Linked DNA regions of Ovis aries. The protein of the gene in region 1 purifies or fractionates together with the protein of each later gene. This does not show direct contact. Links are inferred from orthologs where the notes say so. Each region holds a gene or a part of one and is shown on either strand. Other genes may lie near its edges.

Region 1 (4,558 bases):
AGTTCATCAAGGAAACAGAATTCGATTCCTTTCTTTCATACCTGATTTTCATGGGTGCCTTGGGGTCGTGGGGATGGAAAAGCTAGGCTTCAAGGGGGCCTCTTGCTCCAGGGCACTGAGCTGAGCGGGAAGGCATCCCAGGAGACAGCACGACTATATCACATCTAACAACCATACTCCCCTCGCACCCAGTTTTCCTAAATCAGAGAACAATCAGAGAACAAGGAGCCTGGGGAAACCAAAGGGTAAGGGCAGCCACAGTCTTCTTACCCCCTGGACACCGGGCGGGAAGACGTACTGGATGACGATGGTGCCGTACTTCTCATAGCTGGGTAGTAGGAGTGTGGCATCCTTAGAGACCAGCATCCGCCCGTTCTGGGGCTGGTTGCCCACCAGCTGCCCATAGAAACGGCCACACATGGGGCAGGCCTTCTTCACCTGCAGGGCCCGGGTAATGCAGCCCTCGCAGAACGAGTGCCGGCACTTCTCCAACGTCTTGGCATTCTGGATCTCTCCCAGACAGATGGGGCAGGTGCTCTCCTGCTCTTCTGTCTCTTCTCGAAGGCGGGGAGGAAGAGGAGGGGGTAGCGGAGGAGGAGGTGGGGGAAGCCCCCGGGCCCCTGGGGGCAGAAGTGGGGCTGCTCGGAGAGGGGGTGGGCCTGGGCGGTGCAGCTCAGGGTGCTCCCCTCCACCCCCCAAAGCCAGGCAGCCCATAAGCTCCCCCTGCCTCTGAGCTTTCTTGAGCTCTTTCTCTGCCTCCTTGAGCAGCCCCTTGAGAGCCTTCCTGGCCAGATAGAGCCCATTGGGAGGAGCTGGGGGAGGGCCCTGAGGGGAAAGCTGGAGAACATAGATGTCAGAAGTCTCGCCGTCTATGAGAATGGACACGTGGTGCTCCTCCCGAAGCCGGGCCAGCCGGGCAGGGGTCTCCTTGCTCAGGAAGTCCCACACAGGCTTGGAGACAGTCACTTTGTTCTTGCAATTGCCTCCACAGGCTGCCATTCTGGACAGGACGAACGACACTGCCCCCAGGGTAAAAGGGACTCAGGGTGGGGGGGTCCCCATTTCACAGATATCAGTGCCTCCTACTTCCCATTCCTTTCCGGTCTATATTACCTCTACTCTCTCAGAGCCCAACCCCCATCTCCTCCCCCAAGTTCACGTTCTAGTTCCTCCCATCTTTCAAACTCCAGCACCCTCTGAAGAGCAAGAAAGCTGCTCTAACTTTATTATCATCTAAGGTAAGCATCAGTCTTGGTTCTACACTCCTCCCTAGAGCACAGAAGCATCCTGGCCCTCCCCAACTCTGGACTGGGTTCTGTAAAAGGAAAGGAGATTTCAACCCTCCTTTTTGCTCACTTTGATCCTGAAGAGCTTAGAATTGGCATGCAGGCGCGCGCTCTGTCCCCACTCCCTACTTGTAGGTTGTGTGACCTGGTGGGTGGAAAGGAAAAGGAGTGGAAAACCCCTTCTCCCATTTCCACATGCCCCCACCCAGCAGCCCACAAGACAGACAGAACCTGGGGGTAAATCTCCTGGGAATGGGATTACTAGGAACATGGAATGAAGGAAACCAATTTAAGGGTGAAAGTTGAAGTTTCCATGAAAGGCAGATACCTGGAAAGCCCATGGACGGTGACAGCAGAATTCCCTCTGTTTCCACATTCAGCTGACCAGGACTAGGGGAGGGAGGGGGGGAGGGAGGGAGGAGGGGTTAGGATGACAAATATTACCCTTTCCCCCAGTCAGCCCAGAAGCAAACAAAAACTCCTCCATTTCCTCTCCCTGTCTTTTGCAGAATTTCATCCTCAGCCTCTGGCCAAGTTCCTAAAGAAGGAACTTCAACATGCTAACTTTCCTCTTCCTCAGCTCTGGGCTCTTAAGAAACCTAGGGACACAGATTAGAGAAGTCTGGAAGGGAAAAGCCCACACACAGAGAGGTCTGTTTTGCCACCTCCCTCAGATCACAAGGACAAGAATATCTCCTTTGCTCCCCAGCTTCTCGCCCTGCTCCACATTTTGCCAATAATTCAGCTCCTAGTGCTAGGGTGCCTTCCTTGAGTGTTAACCCAGTCCCTTCTGCTGGAGTCTGTTTGGAATGCGGACCAAGTGGCAGAAGCCCCTGTAATAACGAAGTTCTCGCTGTCACCTTTTAAACCCAGCACACAAAATCCAGGCCTGCCAGCAACCTAGGCTGCATTTCAGGAGGGGTGGAGCTCACACAGGGGATCCGCTGGAGCACCCTGATATTCTCCACCACCACCACCCCCTCCCTGCCCCAGTCTTGCTGTGTTCAGCTACAGAGCTATCCCTACAACACCTCCAAATGCGGCCCAAATAGAAAGAAGGGCCATTAGTGTGACCTCAATTCCTTGACTGATCCAAAAGGGAGCAGCTCTCCGTTTGTGCCTCCTTCCCAGTCCCCTCAAGGCCAGATGCACCTCAAGATTCATAAAGCGAAATCGGAACCCTAGAGCCTCGGCTCTTTCGGTCCATCCAGGTGGAACACCCCCTCCCCATCAGAGTGAAGCCAGGACCTAGGTGTCCTTTGCTCCGAGTCCTGCTGGCACAGAAATGGGAGGCGGGGCCACAGTTTTTGCTGGGTCCGACTCCTCTGGGGCAGCCCAGGCCGGACACGGGGCCAGTCCCTCCCGCTCGAGAGGGGCCGGCGGACAGGGGCAGCCAGGAAGGGCCAGGGTCCCTGGGGGCATCACGGAGGCATCTCCACCCCTCCCCCCCACGACCTCCTGCCAGACGCGACCCGGAACCAACTCCCCGCATCCCAGGCTCGGCAAAGCCCCGGCAGCCCCACCACTGGGTGGGGATGCATGTCGGCCGGATAGCGGGCCCCAGAACCCCCAAATGGAGGCCAAGGCTGGAGGGTAACAGACGGAGGATCGGCGGGGCCGGGCCCGGACCCCCGGGGTCGCGCGCAGGAGAAGGAGACCGAGGACCGGGCGCAGGGGAAGCGGGAGGGCGCGCGGGGGGTGCGAGAAGGGTCCGGGGGGCGCGCGGTGGGTGTGGGGGGCGCCGGGCTCACCTACCTCTCGTCAGCGCCGCCATTGCCGGTCACATGACTGAGGCTGTTGCTGGGATGACGGTCTGGGCCTTAGCAACAAGGGCGGGGGTGGGGGGAGACCCCGAGAAGGTGTGGGGGGGGGAGAGTTTGCAGGGGGTGCAGACTGAGGAAAAGGGAATGAAGGAGGATGGCTCCCCCTTCCCCCTCCCAGGTGATAATCACCGTTTCCTTTGACCCCCTTCCATCCACAAGCCCCTGCCTTCCGCCCCAAAACAGAAATGGAGGCGCCGTCCCAATCTTTGGAGGCGGGGGTGGTGTCGTGGAGCCCAGGGTAGGAGGGTAAATCCCTTAGAGACGCTACCCTTCTCGCTTTCCCCTCCGGAGAGGGGCCCTCTCTCCCTGTTCTTTGCCAGCCAGCTGCGTGGCAGCTTCTGGAAGCTGGTGGCAGATGGGTGGGTGAGGAATGTTGGTTTAGGTAGGTGGGGAAGAGGGGGCAATTTCTCTGTGATCCTTTTTCTAGAAAGGCCTTTGAGGAATAGGAGGTAGGAAGAAGAGTCATAGTAAAAAGCATTGGTTCTAAAAAATAAATCCAGGACTAAGACGTTTCCCTTCTTTATTGCTTGCCTTTTCCTAGATTGTTACCTTCTGTCAAACCTGCTCTCAGCTGGGTATTGATCTCTGATTTTTCTCTTTACACTGAGGCTGGTGCAGAATAAGTGAATACATTCTATCCAAAAAAAATGCCTTGGAGTGATGGTATCAAGTCTATAGTTGAAATAGTTAAAAACTCACAAATCGAGGAGGGAGGGCTGGGGGTAGGGACCGACCCTCTTATGCTTCCCACATCAGAGCCAGCAGTCTCCGCACCCAGTCCAACTCACTTCCCTGGGGCCACATCAAGCCAGGTTTTTCCAACGGTCAGAAGACCTCCTTGGCCAAACAGTACTGGATAGATTTCTCACACTGGCAACAACCTCTGCTGATCCACCCACTTTCTTCACTCCCTCTCCAGGCTGGATGGCTGGTCACTTCCTTCTTTACTTTCCCAGGATCCTGATGTACTCTTTCTGTCCTCCACACAAAGGACATCTTTCCCAGGAAGCCTGGGGAAATACTGGATTCCTTCTGCTTTAGCTCACGTGTGCTTGGTGCTGTTAAGACTCGCTCACCTTTAGAGATGTGTGATCTAGCCCAGAACCCTGGGGAAAGGGGTGGAGGGGGGTCACGTCACCTCAATTGTCCCTGACCCCCCTGTACCTGACTCCCGCAAAACTGGGGAATGTCTTCCATTCCCATGCACACTCCTGGCCACCTTTTAAGCTCACAGCCATCTATCTTGAAACCCACGTCCTTAGGGACCCAACACCTTAAAGATCAGTTCTTTACATGTCACTGCACCCCTAAGCCCAGGCTTCCAAAAAAGAGGAGTGGGGGAGAAAAAGAATTTCTGTGAAGAAATTTGAATTCAATAATTTATTTTCCTTATAGTGACAGCAATGGGAGTAAATACACGAGATCTTTTTATTAATAAAACAAAAAAGA
Region 2 (4,531 bases), on another chromosome or scaffold:
AGATAAGGTACAGAGAAAGAAGGAATAATGAGGCAGGAAAGCACCCCAGCTGCATTTGCAACCTCAGAGATCTAAGGCAAGATAGCAAGATCTGCCAGGAAGAGCTCTGGATATGTAATCCAAGGTAATCTGCACATTTGTTTTTTACTGTCTCTAACATTTTTCTCCTTTTTGTCCTTTCGCTGGATGTCAATGCTGCTTTTTATAGCTGTGACTCAGAGATCAATGTTCACAAGCCACTCTGTGCCTGTCACACCTAACAAACAAGCCTGCTTTTAAATGGCCCCTGTATCTTGGACGGGCTTCCCTGGTGGCTCAGTGGTAAAGAATCTGCCTGCCAATCCAGGAGACACAAGTTAGATCCCTGGGCTGGAAAGATCACCTAGAGAAGGAAATGGCAACTCACTCCAGTATTCTTGCCTGGGAAAACCCATGGATGAGGCGCCTGGCAGGCTACAGTCTATACGGTCGCAGAGTCGCAAAGGACTTAGACAGTGAACAGTGTTGGTCTGGCTTTCAGTTTCCATTTCCTACTGATGGGCCTTTTTCAGTCTTCTAGATGCCCCACCCTTCCTCTTATAATTCTCCGCAGACAAGTCGTCCTGGGCACCCAGCCACCTGCCAGCCTCTAGCTGTTCCACTAATGTGGAGAGGGATGTAAAAGTCAGGGCTTGAAACAAGTTTTATAAGAACCCAATGCCCCGTGCGGCTAGAGCTGCAGTGATGCTGTTTTCAAGCACAAGAGCTAGCAAAAAGCAACCAGGCAGAGCAAAATGCACTGGGTGGGAGTTAAGGGAGATGTGGGGGCCCTCACAGAGATCCTGCCATCTGTTTTGAATCAGCATCGAACTGATGAACACATGGAGCTAGTATGGCGAGTATAGACAAGAGCCAAGGTTTGCATATCAGTACTGCCCCTTGACCTCTGACCTTGGAAAGGTCCACCTGGCTCAAGGAAACCTCAAATTTTGCTGCTCTTTAGTTGGTAACCTGGGCTGGGTCAAGCCTATTTATAAGCCTATTTATAAATGTAAATTAAATCCAGTGAAGTAATCCAAAATTAGGTAACCCTAATGAGGGCTGATTCACAGAGAAGAGAATTCAACTGGAAAGCTACCTAGGGGCAACTTCAACTCTCACAAAGTGTGCCTTCACCAGTTTCTTAAGTTTGTGCGGCCTTTACCCGATCACTCCCCCATCCCCCACTCACATGGGCTTTATCTCTGTGATACTTTCCCAGTGGACAATGAGTTTGACTGACAAGAGTCTGAACACTGCTAGTACTTATTTAATGATCAATTCAGTGGACTGTGAACTTTGAGGGCAGAATCACCTTGCTTCTTAGGATGTTCGCCAACCTGGCACATAGTGTGTATACAAGTATTTTTAGATAGTTGAATATAAGATTGGAAGATGGTTGCTCAAACACTACACTGGGTACTTGGGACAGAAAGAGGTGCAAAACACTGCCCTCATGAACCCTAAGTTTTGCTCTCTGAAAGGCAGGAGGAGGAGTGCCCCGGAGAGAAGCAGGGAGATAACTGAAATGGGGAGACTGACAAGGGAGGTTACTAGAACTGGGCCTTGAAGTCTGGAAAGGATTTGGAGCGGTGACAGGAGAGGGGCTGAAAGGGCAAGAAGACTTCCAGGCTAACTGAACTGCAAGCAGAACAGCCTGAAGCTGGAAAGAGCGTCGGGGTGGCTGAGGAGCCCTTGCCAGGCAAACAGACACCCGGTCCATCGGGGAAGGACAGGCAATGGTGAGCCAGCCCCGAGGGAGCCTCGGTGCCCTCACCTGCAAAATGGCTGCCACGTCTCTGTCCCCACAGGACTGCTTCAGGAGCAAGAACGCCCAGCAGGCGCCTTCTGTGCCTCCTGACCAGCGGAGGGGCCCTAACACCAACCCCAAGCGATGCCCGCCGGGATAAGCGCTGCGGGAGGCCACAGAGCAAAATCCAACCCCCAGCGGCAAAAGGCGACAATTCTTTCCACTCAGCCGTTTTGCGGGTCTGATGGAGCAAGGCTTCCATTCAAATCTGGCCAACCTCAAAGCCCACCCCAGAGCCTGTTACTGCACATTCTCACACAAGCTCCTTCGTCCTCACAAGCATTCTACTAACAGCATGGAGGCTCTGAATTTGAAACACAGCGCAACACGCCCCGCACGCCTGCGGGAATGCGGACCACCGCTACCTGCCAGCCCCCGACCTCCTCCCCGTCAAGGGCAGACGGGTCAGGTCTCCTTCAGGACTCCCCCTTTGTCCTTTTGGTCCAGTCGAGCGTGTCTCCAACTTCCGAGCACACTGAACTGCCGCGCAGAGCCGGACACTGGACACGGCATACCTGAGGGGCCACGGGCAGCCTGTTCGCGGGGACCCGGCGGGGCTCGGGCTCCACCAAGCCCCCAGCAGGGCGCCACTCCGCCATCACGCGTCGGAGGGGGCCCGGGACACAGCGGACGCTCAACCGAAGAGCCGGACGCTGGGGAGGAAGCGGGGCGGAAGAGAAGAGCGCCCCGCCGACGTCCACGGGCCCCCGGGAGCCCCGCGGAGACGCGCCTCGAGGCCAGGCCTCCCGCTCCCGCCGGAGACCCTTCCTGCTGGGGCCTCTCTCCTCAGCTCCATTTTCCTCCCCCCTGCCCACCACCACCCCTATCGGGCCCCAGCCCGCCACTTACACGTGTCCGCAGGGCACCTGCACCGGCTTCTCGTACACCTCCAGGCACACGGGACACGTGAAGCGGCCCAGGGGGTCGGCCTCCGCCGCGGGTCCTGCCAGCTGCGCACCACCATCACGGGCCTGGGGCTGCGCCTGCGCCGCCATCTTGCCGCCGCGGAGCGCCGCGCCTCAGCGGCCGCGGAAGAGGCGAAGGGGCGGAGCGAGAGCGGGGAGGACCGCTCGGGGCGGGGCTTATGGAACGTATGCCGGGATTGGGGCGGGGCCAGCGGGCTGGCCACGCCTCCCGGCCCCTCAGACGCTAGGGAAAAGGGCAGACCCGGATCCAGAGACTGGTATGAGGGGAGGAGGGATTGTGCTTTAGACACTTTTGCCCAAAATTTAAATGGTTGGTACCATTGCTTAATATTTACGTATGCACTATTCTTTAATCTTTCTCTTCAGTCGAGTTTCAGCAAACAAATTTTACAGGGAGATTTGATATCACTCCCAAGCTACAAATAGAAAATCAACACCACTTATTTCCACAAGGCACGGGGAACAAATACTGTAGAGTCTTATGAATTCGTGCCGGATACTGTTGACGTAGAAAAGGGAGATTAAGCGTGATTAGAGAGGTGTTGAAGACAGGCTATCACCACATTGAGACGTCCTAGTGAAAGCAGAAGTGATAAAATTACTTAGTATTGTCTTCACGTGCCTCCTGGCCACGGGGTCCATCTAGCTCTGTAGAAGATGGGGAGCCTGGGGTTTGGAGAGAGAGACTAAACCTCAATCTTGAAAGCAGCAGGCCTAGAACCCAGACGTTCTGAATCTCATCTTCCTTTACTTCCCACTGTACCCAGCTGGCTCTCATATGCAGCCTGTTATAACGGAAGCTACTTTTTTTTTTTTTTTTTTAAGGCCGGCTTTGCTAACGGGTCTATGCGGTTGTCTTACCCAGGAAAGTCAATGATCAATTAAACTCTATCCTGTAAGGCCACAGAGGCCTCACAGTAAGGAGTCTGCACAAGACAAATAAATCAGTTTGCTAAACCAGGTTAACTGAATGGAAATTTGCGCCTCATTTGGGCCATTCCCAGTCCTCTGGATTGATTCTGCTTGACCTGCTGGCAGCAGGAGGATTATTTTTAACTAGCCATGTGGGCCATCTTTTCACTAACCAGTAACTTGGTGTGTAGGCAGCAGCCCAAGAGAGCCAATGCTTCCATTTTACCATTTCTTTTTCTTGTTCCTATGACAGGCACTGTGCATCTGACATCTCTCCGGCCCAAAAGTGCCCTGTCTCCCCTTCAGGAATGGGGGTGCTTCTGTGGTGGCAGAGATGTGTTGTAGGTGTTTATAAGCTTTTGTTTTGGCCTTGTAACTGCCGCCAGACTGTGCTGTGAGCAGGGAGGGTGGTGAGGGAAGGGGAGTCCCAGACTCAGGCTTCAAATCCACTGAGCACCTCCAGTTTGAGCTCTTGAAATGAACTTTCCATAAATTCATACATACCTTACCTGCCTCTTGAGAAACCTGTACAATTAGAGCTGGGTATGGGACAACGGACTGGTTCAAAATTGGGAAAGGAGTACATCAAGGCTGTATAGTGTTACTCTGCTTATTTAACATATGCAGAGTACATCATGTGAAATGCTGGGCTGGATGAAGCACAAGCTGGAATCAATATTGCCGGGAGAAATATCAATAACCTCAGGTGTGCAAATGATACTACCCTAATGGCAGAAAGCAAAGAGGAACTAAAGAATCTCCTGATGCAGGTGAAAGAGGAGAGTGAAAAAGCTGGCTTAAAACTCCATATTCAAAAAATGAAGATGATGGCATCTGGTCCCATCACTTCATGGCAAAAAGGGGA

Evidence for each region.
Region 2: the proteins of DTX3 (region 1) and RNF114 purify together in Homo sapiens (affinity purification with mass spectrometry; 3 studies listed by BioGRID and IntAct, counting the BioPlex papers as one, with this or other methods). This does not show direct contact. The link is inferred for Ovis aries from reciprocal best matches to the Homo sapiens genes DTX3 and RNF114.

The regions. Positions count from the first base shown.
Region 1 is NC_056056.1:162,059,864-162,064,421, forward strand, and holds the start of DTX3 (probable E3 ubiquitin-protein ligase DTX3), read right to left. Parts: upstream 3,077-4,558; 5' UTR 3,042-3,076; intron 1,677-3,041; 5' UTR 1,615-1,676; intron 1,432-1,614; 5' UTR 1,386-1,431; coding exon of another isoform or gene 1,358-1,385; coding exon 1,357-1,357; intron 1,020-1,356; coding exon 271-1,019; intron 198-270; coding exon of another isoform or gene 83-197; exon of another isoform or gene 1-82. UniProt on the Homo sapiens protein: Regulator of Notch signaling, a signaling pathway involved in cell-cell communications that regulates a broad spectrum of cell-fate determinations.
Region 2 is NC_056066.1:78,023,783-78,028,313, reverse strand, and holds the start of RNF114 (E3 ubiquitin-protein ligase RNF114), read right to left. Parts: upstream 2,835-4,531; 5' UTR 2,824-2,834; coding exon 2,678-2,823; intron 1-2,677. UniProt on the Homo sapiens protein: E3 ubiquitin-protein ligase that promotes the ubiquitination of various substrates. In turn, participates in the regulation of many biological processes including cell cycle, apoptosis, osteoclastogenesis as well as innate or adaptive immunity.